Linked DNA regions of Arabidopsis thaliana. The protein of the gene in region 1 interacts with the protein of each later gene in a pairwise test. Each region holds a gene or a part of one and is shown in the gene's direction. Other genes may lie near its edges.

Evidence for each region.
Region 2: the proteins of AT3G44230 (region 1) and AT2G45060 interact in a protein complementation assay, tested with the Arabidopsis thaliana proteins (one large-scale study listed by BioGRID).

What each region holds. Positions count from the first base shown.
Region 1 is NC_003074.8:15,929,481-15,934,170, forward strand, and holds AT3G44230 (uncharacterized protein), read left to right. Parts: upstream 1-2,653; coding exon 2,654-3,268; downstream 3,269-4,690. Other genes in the region: AT3G44220 (Late embryogenesis abundant (LEA) hydroxyproline-rich glycoprotein family), read left to right, coding at 1-165; AT3G44235 (uncharacterized protein), read left to right, coding at 3,804-4,155, 4,236-4,483.
Region 2 is NC_003071.7:18,582,935-18,588,707, reverse strand, and holds AT2G45060 (alanine-tRNA ligase), read left to right. Parts: upstream 1-1,834; 5' UTR 1,835-2,019; coding exon 2,020-2,289; intron 2,290-2,418; coding exon 2,419-2,485; intron 2,486-2,567; coding exon 2,568-2,645; intron 2,646-2,735; coding exon 2,736-2,788; intron 2,789-2,879; coding exon 2,880-2,963; intron 2,964-3,411; coding exon 3,412-3,464; intron 3,465-3,554; coding exon 3,555-3,619; intron 3,620-3,742; coding exon 3,743-3,801; intron 3,802-3,944; coding exon 3,945-4,034; 3' UTR 4,035-4,417; downstream 4,418-5,773. Other genes in the region: SEC61 BETA (Preprotein translocase Sec, Sec61-beta subunit protein), read left to right, coding at 1,252-1,500; GATA2 (GATA transcription factor 2), read right to left, coding at 4,863-5,441, 5,535-5,750.

The sequences.
Region 1 (4,690 bases):
ATCAAGATCGATGGTTGGGTTAGATGGAAAGTGGGAACGTGGGTCTCCGGTAGGTACCGCCTCCACGTCAATTGTCCAGCTTACATTACCTTAGCCGGACATTTTTCTGGTGATGGTCCAGCCGTGAAGTACCAGCTTGTCCAACGATGTGCCGTTGATGTTTAAACAAAGGGATCATCATTATTCTTTAGAGAGACTAGAGTACTTTTGTTGTGCTTTTAGTGTTAGTTAAGTAAATTCTTCGAAATGTTATTATTCATAATAATAATATATTGTTTGTCTTTTTTTTCTTATGAGATTTAAGTTTAACATAATAATTACTAGGTCCCTCTTTTCCATTCTTTAAAATAAATACCAAGATATATAAAAAATAAATAAAAACATAATTTAATCAAGATTTGTTGTTCAAGTGTTAAGAAACCAATTGCGTTTTGAAAACTATTTTTTTGTTTACTGGCTAATGATCGTAATTACTGGGAGTCACCAATAAATTGATTAATCATTTTTTGCATTATTTGTGAATATTTCTTGAATTTTGGAAACAAAACTTGATTTTTGAATAGGTGACATTTGCATAAATTTTGGATCATGTTTCTTGGGGACATGACAAGATCATATATATTTGCTTGGTACTAAGTAAGCAGTTTTGGGTCAACTAAATTTCTAACTTAAACGACTTTTGTCTTCTCTTTTTCAGATGAATGCGAACTTCCCAAGTAAATCTGTTTTCTAGATCCTCATTTACAAAATTGATTAAATCTTTTTATTTATTTTATTTAGTTTATAAACTTCAACATATTGGAAAAACAAACGAGTGAAGAGAGACTTGTAAAAGTTATTACTGTATTGAAACTTGAAATTCGTGGAACATTTCTTTTTATCACTTTGGTATACTATTAGTTAGTTTAATTGGTTTATAATAAAGTAAGTAAATGGATTCGTGAGATTTATACTTTTTTTGTCAAAGTGATATGTATGCTTATTGATGACTTAATACACGTGAGAGGTGAAAATCGTGGTCATGTATGTGACATTTGCACATTTTCAGGTGCAATGCGCATGCCATTTATGTATTTTTTTATACTTTAGAAAGTTTCTTGATGAGATCTAAATTTCATTTTAAATAAATTGAATAAAATATACATCGGCAAAAGCTAATTTCGTTCTGGATAACAAAAACAAAAGTGCTTTCTTTATCATTGAACTTTAACAAAGTTTTTTTTTTTTTTTTTTTGGTTCGAAAAAGACTTTAACAAAGCTTAATTTTGCAGATGCTTAAAGGAAAAATGAAAATGATTCATATTCGCCCCAACAAACTCTCTACTTGCCACGTGTTATTGTAACTTTAGTGACGTTGTATTTGATTTTGTCTTAGCTAGCAACAGAGAATTACAACCAAAAAGGAAAGTTTATCTAACTAAAAACAATTCATCTATTTCATGTAAAGGTTGATAATTACATTGGCTCTATATAATATTGTCAATTGAAATTCAAATTTGGTTAAATACAGGGAATCCTTAGAAAAACCATATATAACAAAATAATTTTTGTAAAGCAAGGGGCCAAGGGGCTTCCAGCCAAAATTATTTTGAGAAATTATACAATTTATATTACAAAAATTATTTTTCAAACTTCTGTTAATACTTTTACACTAAGAGATTTGGGGTTCGAGTTCCAGCTATTGCGATTTATTAGCAGATTTGCAAATTAATGGAAGCAAATATGCAAGAGATCTACAACGAAGAACAATTATAGTTGTTCGCCAAGATTCTACGCAGAGAAGATATTGAAGGTGTCTATTAAGCGCATGGAGAAGGAGAAGAAGATGTCGTCTGTCGTGGATCTAATAAGGGTCGAAAGGAATTGTCCGTAAGGGAATCGTCTATATAACAGTTCTCATAATTTATAATAAATAATAAATTTAGACGGAAAATTTTCTTTGGCTACGATGCCACGTTTCTGGAAGGCATTGCCGTTAATTTTGTCTGAATTAGTTGATAAAGCAATTAACATTATGTTTATCATTGGCCAACTACAGAATGTTTAATTTTTATTTTTTAAGAAAATGACTTTCTTAATAGTTGAAAACTTGTTGAAGACTCCTTGTCCCATTGGTTGACCAATTGGTTGATTCAAAACTTTAATTGCAAAAAACTTTTTTCTTGTGTCTAATAAATCCATTAAACACATCCCCAAAGTTAAATGTCAATGGGGCAGAGTGCAACCTTGTTTACTCTTATTTACATAATTAATAGCTTAAGTAACATGTTGGACAATTTCGCTTGCTCCATAATAATTTCTTTTTCCTTGCATTTTATTTCTCGTACTTTATAATGTTAGACAAACTCTTTGGTCCGATGTGGAAAACCACACAAGACTTAATTTAGTAAATGTGGGGTTTACCAAAACATATAAATAGTTAAACAAAGTAGATTGGGTTATTAGTTTGGGTTAAAGAAAAGCTTGAATTGGTTTTGCATGTTCCTTTGCATTCTAAATATAGTTAGTCATGTTTTTCTTTTGTCACATTTATTCCTTAGGTTAATTTATAATAAAGGAGGTATTTCATGTACTATCATTCCTTCTCCCTTTCCTTTACAATTAGTTGAAAAACACACAAAAGTCGCTCAACAACTTGTGTAACAAGAGCAAAATGGATTACCAAACATTAGAGATTGAAGACCCAAATGATGTTAACATTCCCGATGCTGAGAACTGCTTTGTGGAACCAGGTTGGGCTGCCCTGTTCACCCTCCTAGCCGTGTACGCTATCTTATTTTCCATCGACAATTTGTTTTCTTGTAAGGCCAACTTCTCAATCCAATCTATATCCGTCTCCGCCTCCTCTTCTGAATCGGTGTGGATCGTATATTTCATTGTGAAGAAACCTAGCTTTATGTGTTCTATCTCTTATGAACGCGAATACGTGTCAGCCAATCTTAGTCCCCTAAAAAGTGCCATTGTAAACGTCTCTCACTACCAACGTTCCAATGGCTTCACGGATTTTTCCGTGGTTTTCGCGGCTGAGACTGAGGATATTGGACCAGCCAATGGAAGCAACGTTATTTCAGGTGTCTACAATCTTAATATTACACTTCTCATGAAGCATAAACAAATTGCCGCGAACAACAAACCAGGACATTTCAATGTTCAGTGTAGAAATTTTACCCTAGTGTTCTCATCGGATATGAAGTCGGGAGTGATGCTCGGTGACAAGAAAATTGAATGTCACTCATCTTTTCTAAATTTGAAAGAGCCTTTTCCTTGATTGTTCTTAGATTTTTCATGTTATTATTATTAACTACTACATTTTCAAATAAATACATCCCAAACCATTGTTATCAGAATCATTTGTTAGATTTACACTGACTACTAACTCACAATCCTCAGATTAAATATGTTTAAATATGGATGAACAAGATTCAACTCATGAGGGTACAAGTAAAAGTAAAATATTTTTTGATAGAAATTGTTACATTACATACAAAACTTATTAAGATATCTATTTCTTCAAAGTAGGATACAAAACTCTCAACTTTTTGCGGATCTACAACCGAAAATTCAACAGATTGATTTCTTTTCGCGCCACAAAACCAGCTTCACTTGTCTTAAAACATCAAGTTATTTATAGATAAGTTATTGTTATTGTTAGGAAGAACAAAACTTATAGTGATAACACCTATAAATATTTAGTTAAAGAAAAAATATCATGTTTTCTATTGTTGTCTCCTGAACTGTTCTCTTAGAATAAGCTGATTATAATACTTTAGCATAATATGTACTAAGCCTTCCATAATTCCAAAATGTCGTGGTCTCAAATTGAACCTCGTGATCCTAATTTAACGACTTGGTCTCAAATAACATCATCTCGTGATCCAAATTCAACGACGACTGAAGATGAAGACGGAGATGGCGAGATAGACCATCCTATTCGAAATTATTGTAGAATGTACGTAATACTGCTCTATACTTTTGGTTTTTGGTTGTATCTGTTGATAGGGCTAATCAACATTAGCAGATGTTACTTAGACCTATTCGTCGACTCTGTCTCCGTCTCCAACAATACGAACTGGAACGTCTCATTGGTTGCTGATAGTCCTTTCACATTTTGTCAGTTATCTCTCTTCACAGTTAACGGCCAACTCTTACAAGGAGGTAGGGTTATGGCTGACAGGCTGAGTCAACCACACCCTACTCTTGTGAGCAATTAGTTAATCACACACCAATTTCAACAGTCGGCTTCACCACGCGGAAGCTAGACAGCATAAAAGATGGCCATGTGGTTTGGGACACCGGGGTCAAGATCATTGCCCGCGTCCAAGCGGGCACTAGTCTTAAAAAAAAGGGATTGTTGAGGGTGACAGGCAGTGATTTGCCGGTTAGGTTTCTGTTGGATCCAGAAGGGAACATGAAAGGATCGTTGGTCGGAAACATGAAACGTTGTGAATACTTGTTTAACAGCAGCTTGGATAATTCCCTTTAGCCTTGGGCTAGCTTTTGGTTAGAATGTTATGAACGGTGACAGTGGTTATGATTGAGAGGAACATATGTGGTGGTCCCAAATATTCGAGTTATCTTTTTATATTGTTTGTTATCTATAGGCTTATTTATTGTTGTTTTTTTAACTTCATCGTTTATTAGTTTGCAATCCCTCAAATATGAGTTTTCTTAGACCTCGAATTGACTTACA
Region 2 (5,773 bases), on another chromosome or scaffold:
GGCTTAGATTTTGTCCTTTGATTTAGGGAATCAAAAGAAAGTCATAAACATTAATTTTGCCTGTAAAATCACACATTTCAGATTTGTTCTCGTATGACCTACAAATAAAGTATATGATTACACAATCAATCTTTAGATTCAAGAACTTTGTCCCTACTTCATTATATTCAGCTAACATTTCTTTTTAATTCTCTGTCGTGCGAAAGGTTGTTGACAATATAAATGATATATGTACTTGTACGCGTAATGCTGCTAATACATTTTAATTTGGGCTTCTTCTGGGCCTTAATATTTGGGCTTTAAATAAGTTATCTCTCCCACTTACGCATGTAAACACAGCTCTGATAATTACGCTGAGGTGGCATTTTTTAATTGGCTAATGCATTAAGAGATGCGTGGCGAGAAATTTCCCCTCCTATAAAAATTGTTGAAGAGTCCGGTCAACTCCGAAAGTCTTCAAATCTCTCCGTCACGAATCGTTCTCTCGTCGTCATCAAAATCTGTTAGCCGAATCAGGTGAGCCCTTTGTTATTTTTGTTGTTTATGATCTGGATCTCTGTTGATTGAGGAAATTGGTAGATCTATGGATTTGTTAGATGAGCGTGTGCGTAGATCTGAAAATGAGATCTCGATGTTGAATCTGAATCGCGGCTGGTATACGATTCCCGATCTGGATACGATTCAACATGCATAGCATCTGAGAATTTTACATAGAATTTTGCATGTTCAATTTTTGTCTCGCTGATTTGAGAATTTTAGGATTGCTTCATCTAATTTAGTTTTGTTGACTCGATGCTGAAATTAGTTTTCTGCGTTTGAGAGTTTCGAATCTTCCATCTCCTGAAAATGCAGCTCAAACTCATATAGTATATGTCAAATTGAAACAAGTTTTTTCAATTACGTTTCTAAGAACTCTTGCTAACCAGAACAGGATTGTACCAAGTAATTTACATGATTAAACCTGAATTTGTACTGATTTGAGCTTACGGATAAATGGAAACAATGTGATAGTAGTATATAAATTTGGGTATACGTAGTTGCCTTGTGGGAAGCAAATCTTTTACCAGAGGTTTCTAGTATCATATAGAATGTATGACCATGGAAAACTAAACATGAGCTTAATGGTGTTTAGATGTCTCCTATTATTTCATTTGCTTAATAATTCTCTGTTTTTTTTTATATATGATCGCTCTTTTGCTTCCGATTTCCTAAAGGCCAACCATTATTCTCAGATAGAGAAAAGAAGAAAGAATGGTGGGAAGTGGAGCTCCACAGAGAGGAAGTGCAGCTGCAACTGCAAGCATGCGTAGGAGGAAGCCGACCAGCGGTGCTGGTGGAGGAGGTGCCTCTGGTGGTGCAGCCGGATCCATGCTTCAGTTCTACACCGATGACGCACCTGGTCTCAAGATCTCCCCCAATGTTGTTCTTATCATGAGCATCGGTTTCATTGCTTTCGTCGCTGTGCTTCATGTTATGGGCAAGCTCTACTTTGTCAAATGATGACAAAGATAATAGTTGAAGACAATGCCACCCTAAGTGACTGCTAGTGATCCAAATATTATACAGTGGTTTCAAGTTAATGTTTTAATTTTGTGGTTTATTACCAGAGTATAAACGATCTTTCACAATTCCAGTTTCTTTACATTCAAATTTTCAATATTCTTCACACATATTATAGGCATGAGCTTTTTATACATCTCACAAATGACAATGAGTACTATTATCACCTTTTTAACTTTAAAAAAATTCAATTGTTGATAGCATAACACACTCATAGTCAATGGTCTTGAGTGAAATAACTAATCTATTAACCATAACTAATCTATAAAAGTCTCTGGCGTTTATTGAACAATTAAGAAATAGATGGGAAATGTTGGAGATAAACTAAACTTTTCAGGGTCTTAGTTGTCAATCTGAAACGGGGCCCGATTAAATTATACTCGGGTCATTCTTTTGTCCACCGGGTTTTTCTTCAGAACTTGAGCGAAGGAGGTCGCGATATTGGAGAGATCTTTTCTAATGGCAGCGTTGGGAGAATCATCATCCTCAGAGATGGACAACGCGAAATCGCCGGAGATTCAACAATCTTCGCCAGTGCATCCGCCGGAGTATCAGAAGATCGCAACGACGACGGTGGAAAATGCGGCTTCCTGGATCGATGATGCGTTGCGTCAGGCGCTTGTTTACCAGAAGACGATCACGGAGACGGTGGATTCTACCATTGACGCCTCCAAAGCTCGATTGTCTCAGATTCGAGATACTTCTGTAGCTCACACGAGCCAAACCATCGTAAGCTAACTACAACCTCCTAATTTTCATTGGAATCCAAAGGGAATCTGAAATTCACAGCATCTACTCTCTATGTCATCCGTGTGATTGTTTATCCTCTCACGAAATCGAGGTTTCGGTATATTATAGGATTCTCTTCGAGACATTGCTTCTGAGTATAACGTTTACGAGCAAATGGTGTTTGGGAAGATCAAAGGTCTGCTCTACCTTTGGTGGCTACCTCTATGTTGTTGTGCTTTTTTTCTCTTAGCTCATATGTTTGTCAATCTTGTATGTAGATGGTGTGAATGTTGCTGCATCTCATCCGCTAATATCAGGCACCTTAGCTTTTGGAGTTGGGATTTTTGCTCTGAAAAGTACGTTTTCTGGATATTCTTTTAATCTCCCTAGAGTTTCAATCGCCTAGAATGTTATGAACTGTAGTGATTGCTCTTGTTTGTTTGCAGAGACCAGAAGATTTGTATATTACAATACTGTACGCATGTTTGTTAGTGAAGAGGTCAGTGTTGTATACAACATCGTTGAATTATAAATTGGTCTCTCTGTGGTTAAATATGTTCTTGAAACTTGACAGTATGTTTTGGATTCAGGCTTTGCTTTCTAGAGCAGATCTTAAAGTAAAAGAGTTGCGACAATCAATGGATCGTCTTAAAGCCGAGAGTGAAAAGTTAGAGGTAAGCCTCTTCTTTTGTTTTAATGAGTTGTTCTGTTCGACATGAGGTTGACGTTTGTGGAGAAGACTGCCTATGTTATGCGTTTAGTTAGCTATATTACTCTCTTTCGGTTTTGCTTCAACATCCCTTTATTTTGAAATAGAATGTGTGGCATTTAGGATGAAAATTGAAAGGGGTTAGGTTTCGACCAGAGAAATTTCTATATAGCCTTATTCAGTGGATATGGATGAATGCTTCTACTTTCGCAGGCATATAGCCTTTCACGGTTGAAGTAATTTAGTGCAAGGATATTCTTGAGTCTAACTCTTTCTTAACCCTAGTCAATAGATATATAGTTATATACCCTCCAACTAATAGTCAATGGTCTTGAGTGAAAGTAGTCTATTAGAAGCAGGTATTGGATTACGGTTTTTGAATTCTTAACAATTTTTAACTTTCATTGCTTCAGAGAGTTGCAACTGTGGCAGAAGAGGAATTCATTAGAGGAAGGATGAAACTCAGGTTTATGATCCAGACAAATTACAACATCTGTATATTGGATTTATATATCAACATGAATATTATGTTAACTTTCTTCATCTTCTTACACAGGCAAGCAGGCAAACAAATCAGAGGTGCGATCAGCTCAGCTTATAAGATTGAAAAGCAAGCAGCAGGTACACCTTTCTGTGCTATCATGCTACAGTTTGTGAAACCAAAAATATGCATAGAACAGAAGAAGAAAACTTTCGCCGTAACAAAGCTTATCGACTTAGACCATGATCATTTTTTATTTACAGGTTTGAAAGATGTACTAAAAGAACTGCCAACGAGAGAAGCTTCTCGATTCCGCACTCAAGTAAGTGTTACTTGTCTTTTGGCTCTTATAGGTAGAGTATAGGAGCTGGGATCTAGAGTTAGAAGCTGAACTTGGTTGGAATAAATTTAACAACCATTTTATATACATTGTATAATGGAGATATCTCAATTGTTCAACCTCAGATATCGAAGCGTGCTTCTGAAGTGAAGCAAGAGAGAAACGCTTTGACAAAGGAAGTGAACAAGATCAGCAATTATGGTATCTCCGTATGAGGCAAACCAAACCCCATTTTCGAGTTACGAATTTCTTTACTCTTGAGGTTCTTCTTTAGATGATGGAGCAAAATTACACAATAATAATGTCTACAACATGATTCAAACTCTTTTTTTTTTTTTTTTTGGTTTCGTGTCAAATGCTAAAGATGTAATCTCTTGTTGTCTTCGGTTTTCAAGGGTTTCGTTCATTGGCGATAGTTAGTACTTAGTAATACAAGTTCATGATGATGTTGTCATGTTTAAGTCTCCCATCCATGAAGGTGTATTTTTAAATCCAATTTTCCCTTTTGAATTTAAACTGAAAATCAAACCTTATATGATCAGTTTTGTTGATTAGAGTATAATGTAAACCGAACCTTAAATCACAATTTCGTAAACCGGAATTAGGACCCCAATTTTTGATCGAAACGTGAAGTCGAAATAAGGGTGCAAGTGGATAATATATATAACTCGGAAGTCTGAACACTGACGCCGTTTAGTGTAAGCGGAAATTAATGAAGCTTTTTCTGATTTCATGCTTCAGTAAATGATTAAATCATTTGCAAATATTTAAAGAAAACAAAATTGAAGGATGAAGTAAATAACGTAGGAGAAAAGGCAAAGCCCAAAGATATAATTTTTTTTTAATAATTAACAATTAAATGAGGTTTGATTTTCCAACGTTCACTAAAAATTTTAGGCTCCCGTCGTCGTCGGTCACGTGATTAACGCCGCTAGGATCGCGACACGTCATCATCACGTGACGTTACCCAAAACCCAACCCCAAGAACCAAAAAGAAAAACAAAAAAAAGAGTGACGACGGACGAGGCAGTGAAAAGTGAAAACTAAAACGGGTGGTGGTGGTGATGAAGTTGAACTTGTTGTGGTTGTCTCATAACTTCTTTCTGCCGTCGAAGCTCCATCACTTTCCGGTGAGAGTTTGAATGCTGAGTCAAAACAAAAGTAGGACTCGAAGCCGGTCTATATTCCGGTACAAGTCTACCGGATTTAAACCGGACTCCACAAGCGTTACATAGTGTTTTAGGTCCAAGTGGTCCTGTCCTCCACTGTGGCGTTTTCTCCGATGCACAGTGAGTACATCTCCTCATTCCTCCTCCTTCCGTAGTCTCCGATGACGATGACTGATGTCTTCCTCCTCCTCCTCCTCCTCCGCCGGATTGTTCTTTCTTTGGCTTGAATTTGGCGGCGGAGTGAAGCTGCTGATGCTCGGATTCCAGTGGCATCGGAGACCATGTTCCGGCGAAAGGAGCAGGAGCTCTTGATCGTTTGCTTCTTGGTTTCCCCGGAAAGGAAGTTTCAGTTTTGACAGAAGTCATAGTTCCTCCTAATGGATTCGCCGGAAAATCAGCGAAAGAATCGTCCACGAATTGCGAAAGCCATTCAAGATGAGCTGCGTCATCACTCTGCACACAAAAAATACAACAAAAATCAAAACACAATCTTTATTTCAAAGTCGAAACTTTGATTGGAGAAAGAGAGAGGGAGAGAGATTATACGGGAACGCAAATGTCGTGGAGGAAGGAGTGATGATCGGCGGAGGAAGGGAGATGGTGGTGGTGGAAACTAGGGTTTTGAGGAGGAGGGAAAGAAGAAGAGGAAGTAGCGGCGGTGGAACCACCGGAAGAAGAAGCGGAGAAGATGTCTTCGTTGGAGAAATCAAGAAGGTCGTCGATTCGAAGTAAGTCTGGTGAAGATAAGCCATAGACGTCCATTGTTATAGATTATGATTGAGTGG